2 linked regions of the Arabidopsis thaliana genome follow. The protein of the gene in region 1 binds, or shares a complex with, the protein of each later gene. Each region holds a gene or a part of one and is shown on either strand. Other genes may lie near its edges. A codon is read from its position in the direction of its gene.

Region 1 (3,754 bases):
GGCACCTCGAAAGCAACCGCAAAGTGTGTAGCCTGAAAATGGAACAACAAAAGCTCAATAAGAAATGTGACATAGAAACACCTTCATCTCAGACACACTTGTCCAGTGATGGGAAATCTGTCATGAATACCTACCTCTCCACCAGTATGTTGGCGAAAATCTCCACCGACATACTGAGATTTTGGAGCCAATTGGGGTGGTACATTAGGAAGGTCAGAAGTTAATGGCTCAGCAACTTTTAAAAGTTCCTCATGTTCTACTCCACTTGCCGCCAATACCATCCGTGCAGCAGTGAAATTCTCCTGAAATTCCCAGATAAATTGAGTCAAAAAGACAAATAAATAGGATTGTAATTTTGAAATCGCTGAGACGTAGATGGTTCACAAAAGCTCATGCATTCTTACAGTCATAAACTCTTCCAAGAGCTCCCCATTCAATCTATCTAAAGCAGACTCCGGTGCGTACAGAGGACTTGCCAATGGACCAGAGTAACCAGCAGAATGAATGGCCTCCAAGAGGAAACCCATAGGGTTCTTTGCAAGTTCCGCTATCTCTACCTTCATCTTCCGTAGCTGCGGAAAAGATCATCGACACATGGCTAAAAGTCACATAAAAGTTTCAACACAGTTATCAGAATAATACAAAAGGAAAAAAAAAATGATCTACCTCTTCATTCACTTCCCAGTCCAAGAAAGCAGGGTTTCTAACACTGTCAATAAGAACTTCAACCATTTCAGGGACATAGGTCTTAAGAGCATCAATAGTGTAACTCATTTGCTCTCGAGACGCAGAAGCGGATGTGTTGCCTCCAATAGCCTCAATTTCCCTCACAAGACGAAAATGAGTTCTGTTCAACGTGCTCTTGAAAGCCATTCTTTCAAGCAAATGTGTAGCTCCATGGAAATAAGGCGCCTCATAAATAGAACCGCAATCAACATATAAACCAATCGAAGCTGCCGGATTCTGCACACAACATTAACTTTCTTCAGTTCACATTTTCAGGAGTGAAATCAGACATTAAAATTCGTTCTTTTATTTACCGGAGTCGTCTCTGAGGCTATCTTAAGACCATTTGGAAGAGTAGTGATCTGAAGTTTGCTCGGCTCGACTTTATCAGCAAGCGGCGGAGGAAGAGAAACACCTTGTAGAGGCATATCCAATGAAGTAAGCGCAGCACGAGACCCACCACTCAACCAGCTCAAGTAAGCCGGCGTTGACGAACTCGTCTCCGCAACAGCACTAGAACTAGCATAACGCGCTGGTCTCAAACTACGAGTAAGAACTCCCTATATAACACACAATCACAATACATCACATAATAAGAAACCAATCTTTTCTATGGTATCAATCAAAGGACAATAAGAAGAATCATAATCGAAATCATTTCTCTTAAATCGAAAATCAGATGAGTTATAATCTAAACCAATGGATTGACTTTAACCAATCAGAGAAGAGATCATTGTAACCTATAGAAGTAACTACAAACGAAAGAATTTGAATCCAGATCTGTTAATTCACTGAATCGGACCAAATCGTTCCAGAATCTTCCAGGAACAGGATAAAAGGGTAAAATTGTAAAAAGGAATAAGGATGTACCTTAAGAGCCCTGGCTCGTGAAGCTGCCGTGCGATACATGGCGAAGATTGGGTAACCCTAAATCGGAAACTGAGTCGACGACGAAAGAGAGGTTGAGGCTGATGAATAGAGAGAGAGGAGGAGACGGAGGCTTTTTCTCAGTTTATTTACGATTTTGTTTAGTTTAGACTTTAGAATCTAAGTTGCTACGTACTCGGTGATATCTTGCTAACATAGGCCCATAATATGTACTAAAATCTGACCCAATATTGTGTTATGGGCTTGGCCCAATCCTAATATTTATTCAAAGTGGTTTTTAGACTATTTATCAATCTGAACAAATCTAAACTATATAACCTATAGCCAATTTCAACCGTCAAAACATCATCTAATCATCTTTTTCATTAAAAATCTGTTTACTGAAGAATTTTAATAATAATTGAAAATTATCAAAAAATATGTCCATTCTGTATTTACTTAATTAGATTACTGAGTTGGTTTAGTGTGTACTTCAAATATTTTGTTACTAGATTTTAAACCGCGGTATACCGCGAGACGATTTTTTTTTAAAGTAATATATTAAAACTTGCAAATTTTAATTTTATAAAATATTAATATTTTACAGTTTAAAATTGTTATTAGGTAACGTTATACCACGAATCCATGAGACAATTGTTAAAAAACTGAAGTTTTAACCCCTATTAAAACATCATATTAATAATATTTTAATATTTTATAAATATTGATTCAAATACATCCACCATATAACCCAATTCTAAAATAAAATCCGTTATGTAATTTCTTACCCGTCCCATGATTTTTTTTTTAAAGTAGTAATTTTTAAAATTTAAGAATTATTTTTTATATATAAAAGCTTTGCAAATTGTATCATTCTCTAATACATTTATATTTTATAGTTTAATTTTATATATAGTAATATTATACATACCACATAACATTTTTGGTTTTATATAATCTTTTCTAAATTAGGATGATTTGATATGTTTAATATTAGTAGTTTTAAAAAATAATAAATTAAAGATTTAACCCGTATTGAAACGGTGGATTAGTTATATTTTACTTTTTTATTAATGTTGATTCAAAAACCCGTCCCTTCAAATCCGTCTTCCAAAAAGCAATTTATTTTATTAATATTAATTTTATTAATGATATGACTCTGAATTATAATCTAAACATTTTAACTAATAACATAGGAGTGCACCATATTTATTCAATAGGAAAATGTATCATATGACCTGAATGCACTTTTACCCAAATCCACCAAAAAAGCAAATATATTAGTTAGCTTAAATTTGTTAAAGAATACAAATTGAAAAAGTATATTACATTTTATTCGAATATAGTATCAAAACTTATATAACACAGAGATTTGATAATTTTTTAATTGTTGAATACTTTTTGTTTTGCTAATTTTTATGTGATTAAGATTTAATTAATTTCGTATATAAAATATTAAATTATTTTACGAACTTATTTGTTTATAATTTGGTAACAGATAGATATTTGAATATTCAATATATTTTGCTTCAGTTTAGGAAATATTTGATGACCCATCTTTAGATCCAATAAGCCCTATAATCTAGATATTAACCTGCTGTATACCGCAGGTAGACTTATATTTTAGTTAAACTAAAAACTTTTATTGTAAAGATGATTTAAAAATATATGATATTATTTTATTTGATTTTAAATGTATATTAAACTGTGAGTTGTATATGTTTTGTTAATATTATGTATATTGTTTAGTGTTTAAGATTATACACTTGTAGTTTGATTGCTAATTTAAGAGTTTCACCTGTAGTATACCATCTTGTATTAATATCGATCTAAACCCGTCAATTCTAAGATTTTCCAGCTTGTATTAAAAATTGAATCACATCATACATATAAGAAAATCTAATATGTTTTTAATTATTGTAGTATATAAGATTATAAATTTTCAATATAATATGTATGAAATTGAATATAAATATTTCAAATTATGACCCGTTACTCAGTAGAAAGTTTTCTTAAATCTATTTTCACCCGTTATAATATTTTTTCATGTATTGAACAGTTTATATTCGTTTTTAAAAAATCAAATTATGGCATATGCGAAAAAACTCTAATTATTTTTTATAATGATGATATTATTTTTCGCAAAAATAGAATCATATAA
Region 2 (3,754 bases), on another chromosome or scaffold:
GATTATCTAGCACTTCTTGCATGGTTGGTCGCATCTTCGGGTCTACCTCTAGGCATTGTTTAATAAGCTCGCACATAAGTCTTCCCGCTTCAAGTGGATAGCTATTCTTCAAATCTGGATCGATCATCTCCACAATGTTGTACTTTTTATTTTTTATTTCTCGCTTTGCTGAGATTGTGAGGTCTTTTCCTAAACCAGTTAACATTTTAAGTAGTATAACACCAAAGCTATACACATCGCCCGCCATGTTCGACATCCCTTCATTTGATTAGTGCAATCAATTAAGGTTAGTCTCTTTGAATTTAATGGTCACTTTTAACTTTAAGATATAAGGAAGAAGCAGAAGATTGTTGCCTGAGAGTATGTATTCGGGAGGTGGGTATTGATATCTAGGTGCTACATTTGAAAACCCGATGGTGTATACCAATTCATCGAGAGAAACTTTTGGCTTTCCAAAATAGGAAACTCTTGCGTTGAAGTCCTGCATATCCCATAAATGTCACTTTAAAGGTAAGGAGCAAGTATTCAAGAAAAAAAACAAAAAAGGCAAGGTGAATACAAACCGAGTCGAGCAGGATTTTCGAAGCAGTGAGATATCTGCGGTATAGACCGGCTTGCTTCCTAGAGTGCAAGAAGGCAAGACACTGAGCCGCTCCTATGGATATCTTAAGTCGTGTCTCCCACGGCAATGACTTTGGACGACTATCTATGATATTATATAAACCATTAAATCCAAAAGGAAGATGAATTACTATTGGATCTAAGGTTAAGATCGTAAACTCGTGAGAGCTCCAGAAATCAATTTGAGCAACTCTCTTTATTCCCTCTCTATGATATTAAATTATCTAGGAATCATTTAGCTTGGTGTTCTTCAATTAGTATATTTTCCTCACTTCCACTAAATAAAGCTCTAATGAGCTATCTCAATTTTTAGATCTAGTTTTAAAGCTCTTATTAAGAGCTCTTACCTTTGGGTCTTGCTCGAGCAAGATTCTTCTTGCTTTGAGTCTACTCACAAGATATAATGACGAAAAGGAGATGAATAAACTTAACTTCCTTACCTCTACTGATGTAACTTCCTAAGCTTCCATTTGGAAAGTATTCAGAAACAATAAACAACATATCACGATCATAACAGTAGCCAATTAGCTTCACCAAGCTTGGATGAGAGTTATGTCGTAGAAACTCTACGTCAACCTACAAAAATATCATCTCTAATGTTAAGACACACTGACCCATCTCTAGGGGTAGGCAACATAGACATTTACCATCCAAAAACATCAAAAAATTTAGAAGAATAAATAAGTAACAAGAAACTTAACAATATTATTGGTTTTGCCGAAGGTTCTCCTATAGATTGAGATGATATAATTACTTACAAGCCAATCTTGAAAAGCTTGTTCATTGGCTAAGTAAATTTTCTTGACCGCGACGGCCATGCCAACACCTTTCTTGGCCGGAGATAACGTTTTGGGATTGATGTATCCCAAGCTCTCTCCTAGTTCCATCTGGTTTCCGAAATCATTAGTCGCTTTCTTCAGATCTGCCACCGTGAAGACTTTCACACCCTCCTCCACTATACATATATTATAACAAAACTTATATCCATTATAGTAACATTCAAATCAAAAGTACTTAAATCCGCAGAGAAATATATATATGTATACCTGATTTGGGAGCATTTGGTTCGGTGGGAAGTGTCGAAGCTGAGAGACAATTTCCCATTCGGATACTCTCTGCTAAATCTTAACACTAGAGTTCAATGAAGAAGAGAGGACTTTTAGTTTTTCACACCGAGGAGCAAAGTCAACGAAAACGCGTTTGAGAGTCAACGGTTGACGCGTTTTATTTGGTGAGTCATACGACGCCGTTTTTTGATAAGAGTACATACTACGCCGTTTGGCTAGAGTTTCATACGACGGCGTTTAAACAGATGTCTCTGGATGCTTCTTCCTTCTTCGTTCCCGGGTTAAATTACAAATAGCGGCGAAGGGGTTTCATCACAATTCACATCTTCAACGTTACTCCGAAGAAGATAATGGCGTCGTTTCTCCAGAGACTAGTAGATCCCAGGAAGAATTTCTTAGCTCGTATGCATATGAAGTCTGTTTCTAATCGCCTCCGCAGATACGGTACTCTTTCTTTCTCTCTTACCCTAGAAACCAAACCCTAATTCTCTTCTGGCTGATTTTGGGAATTTTACGATTTTTTAGGTCTTAGATACGACGATCTTTATGATCCTTTGTATGATTTGGATATTAAAGAAGCTCTTAATCGTTTACCGAGAGAGATTGTTGATGCTCGGAACCAGCGTCTTATGCGTGCAATGGATCTTTCTATGAAACATGAATACCTCCCAGATAATCTTCAGGTATGTTTTAGTCTCTAAGTAAGTGACAACAGAGCTAAAACGGTATATAGCTATGGAGTTTGTAGATAGAGCTTGCAAGATTTGACTTAAGACTTGTATTAGGATCAAGAACACTCTGTTTTCAGAAACCTGTTTTGGTTCTGTAATATAATTGTAACTTGATAAGCTTTGTAAGATCTTGTCTATGAAAGAAGTTTTTTTTGAGATAGTGCTTGTTAGTTGTGAGATAGGAAGCTTATGTAAATCTTTTTTTCTTTTCCTTGTCTCTGTAATTCCACAGGCAGTGCAGACTCCATTCAGGAGCTACCTCCAAGACATGTTGGCTCTTGTAAGAACAAAAACAGTTTTATCTATCTTGTAGTGATAGAAGAATCATATAGCAAAGTTCTAACACACGACACTTCATGTGCAGGTGAAGCGGGAGAGAGCTGAGAGAGAGGCTTTGGGAGCTTTACCTCTCTACCAAAGAACCATTCCTTAAGCATGTTAGTCTCTCTTGTGCTTATAGTAGGGTCACTGTTTTAGTACTCTTTAGGCTTCAATACCGCACAATTTGCTTTTGTATGGTTATGCATGGATATGTGAACCTTATGTATAAGATTTTATGAGATTGAATTGGATGTGTAATGTAAGCTTGATTGAGCTATTACAGAAATATGAGTAAAATATCCCACACCGGTAGGAGGAGAGTAAATCATGCTACATAAAGACATAAAGGCACACAAACCCTTAAGCTAGCTTTTGGAAATGTTTTCACAGTTCCTCATAGGAGCTCTGAAGAGAGGCGTGTAACCTCTGAACCACAATCCTTTATAACCCTTAGTTTGTCCTCTCAAATATGGGCTATAGCATTCAAATTATCTAGCACTTGTTGCATGGATGGTCTTTCCTTGGGATCTCTTTCAAGGCAGTTTTATGAGCTTGCACATACGCATCCCCTCTTCAACACGATAGCTATTCTCTAAATCTGGATCGATCATTTCCACAATGTTTTCTTTTCTATTCTCTGTTGCTTCCTCTGCTAAGATGATGCACGGGTTTCCCAAACCAGTTAAGATCTCAAATAGTATAACACCGAAGCTGTATACATCGCCCGCCATGTGTGATCTCCCTGTATATGCGTATTACCGTGCAATCAGTTTTAGGTTAGTGTATGAATTTTAATGGTCATTCTGTAGCTTGAGAGAGGACTTACCTGAGAATATGTATTCAGGAGGTTCGTAGTAAATTCTAAGAAATGCGCTCAATACAATTTTCTAGCTTGCTTACTCCTATAAATGTAACGCTCTAAGCTTCCGTTTGGAAAGTATTCAGAAACAATGAACAACAATTATCATCCGAACCGTAACCAATGAGCTTGACCAAGCTTGGATGCAGGTTATG

Evidence for each region. The genes of interacting proteins can lie anywhere in the genome.
Region 2: the proteins of AT1G51980 (region 1) and AT5G25450 are in contact, whole or in part, in a cryo-EM structure (PDB 8BEP), measured with the Arabidopsis thaliana proteins. Residues at the interface, in NP_175610.1 of Arabidopsis thaliana: Thr135 (codon at 846), Phe137 (codon at 840), Arg138 (codon at 837), Arg141 (codon at 828), Trp189 (codon at 684); in NP_197927.1 of Arabidopsis thaliana: Arg53 (codon at 2,276), Met97 (codon at 2,688), Leu100 (codon at 2,697), Glu104 (codon at 2,793), Glu107 (codon at 2,802), Arg108 (codon at 2,805), Leu111 (codon at 2,814), Ala113 (codon at 2,820).

The regions. Positions count from the first base shown.
Region 1 is NC_003070.9:19,325,137-19,328,890, forward strand, and holds the start of AT1G51980 (Insulinase (Peptidase family M16) protein), read right to left. Parts: upstream 1,783-3,754; 5' UTR 1,636-1,782; coding exon 1,597-1,635; intron 1,287-1,596; coding exon 1,041-1,286; intron 964-1,040; coding exon 667-963; intron 573-666; coding exon 405-572; intron 303-404; coding exon 135-302; intron 33-134; coding exon 1-32. UniProt on the Arabidopsis thaliana protein: Substrate recognition and binding subunit of the essential mitochondrial processing protease (MPP), which cleaves the mitochondrial sequence off newly imported precursors proteins.
Region 2 is NC_003076.8:8,854,998-8,858,751, forward strand, and holds AT5G25450 (Cytochrome bd ubiquinol oxidase, 14kDa subunit), read left to right. Parts: upstream 1-1,919; 5' UTR 1,920-2,038; coding exon 2,039-2,132; intron 2,133-2,213; coding exon 2,214-2,371; coding exon of another isoform or gene 2,372-2,389; exon of another isoform or gene 2,390-2,651; coding exon 2,652-2,699; intron 2,700-2,783; coding exon 2,784-2,852; 3' UTR 2,853-3,479; downstream 3,480-3,754. Other genes in the region: AT5G25440 (Protein kinase superfamily protein), read right to left, coding at 1-258, 355-481, 564-706, 1,062-1,197, 1,323-1,576, 1,668-1,725. UniProt on the Arabidopsis thaliana protein: Component of the ubiquinol-cytochrome c oxidoreductase, a multisubunit transmembrane complex that is part of the mitochondrial electron transport chain which drives oxidative phosphorylation.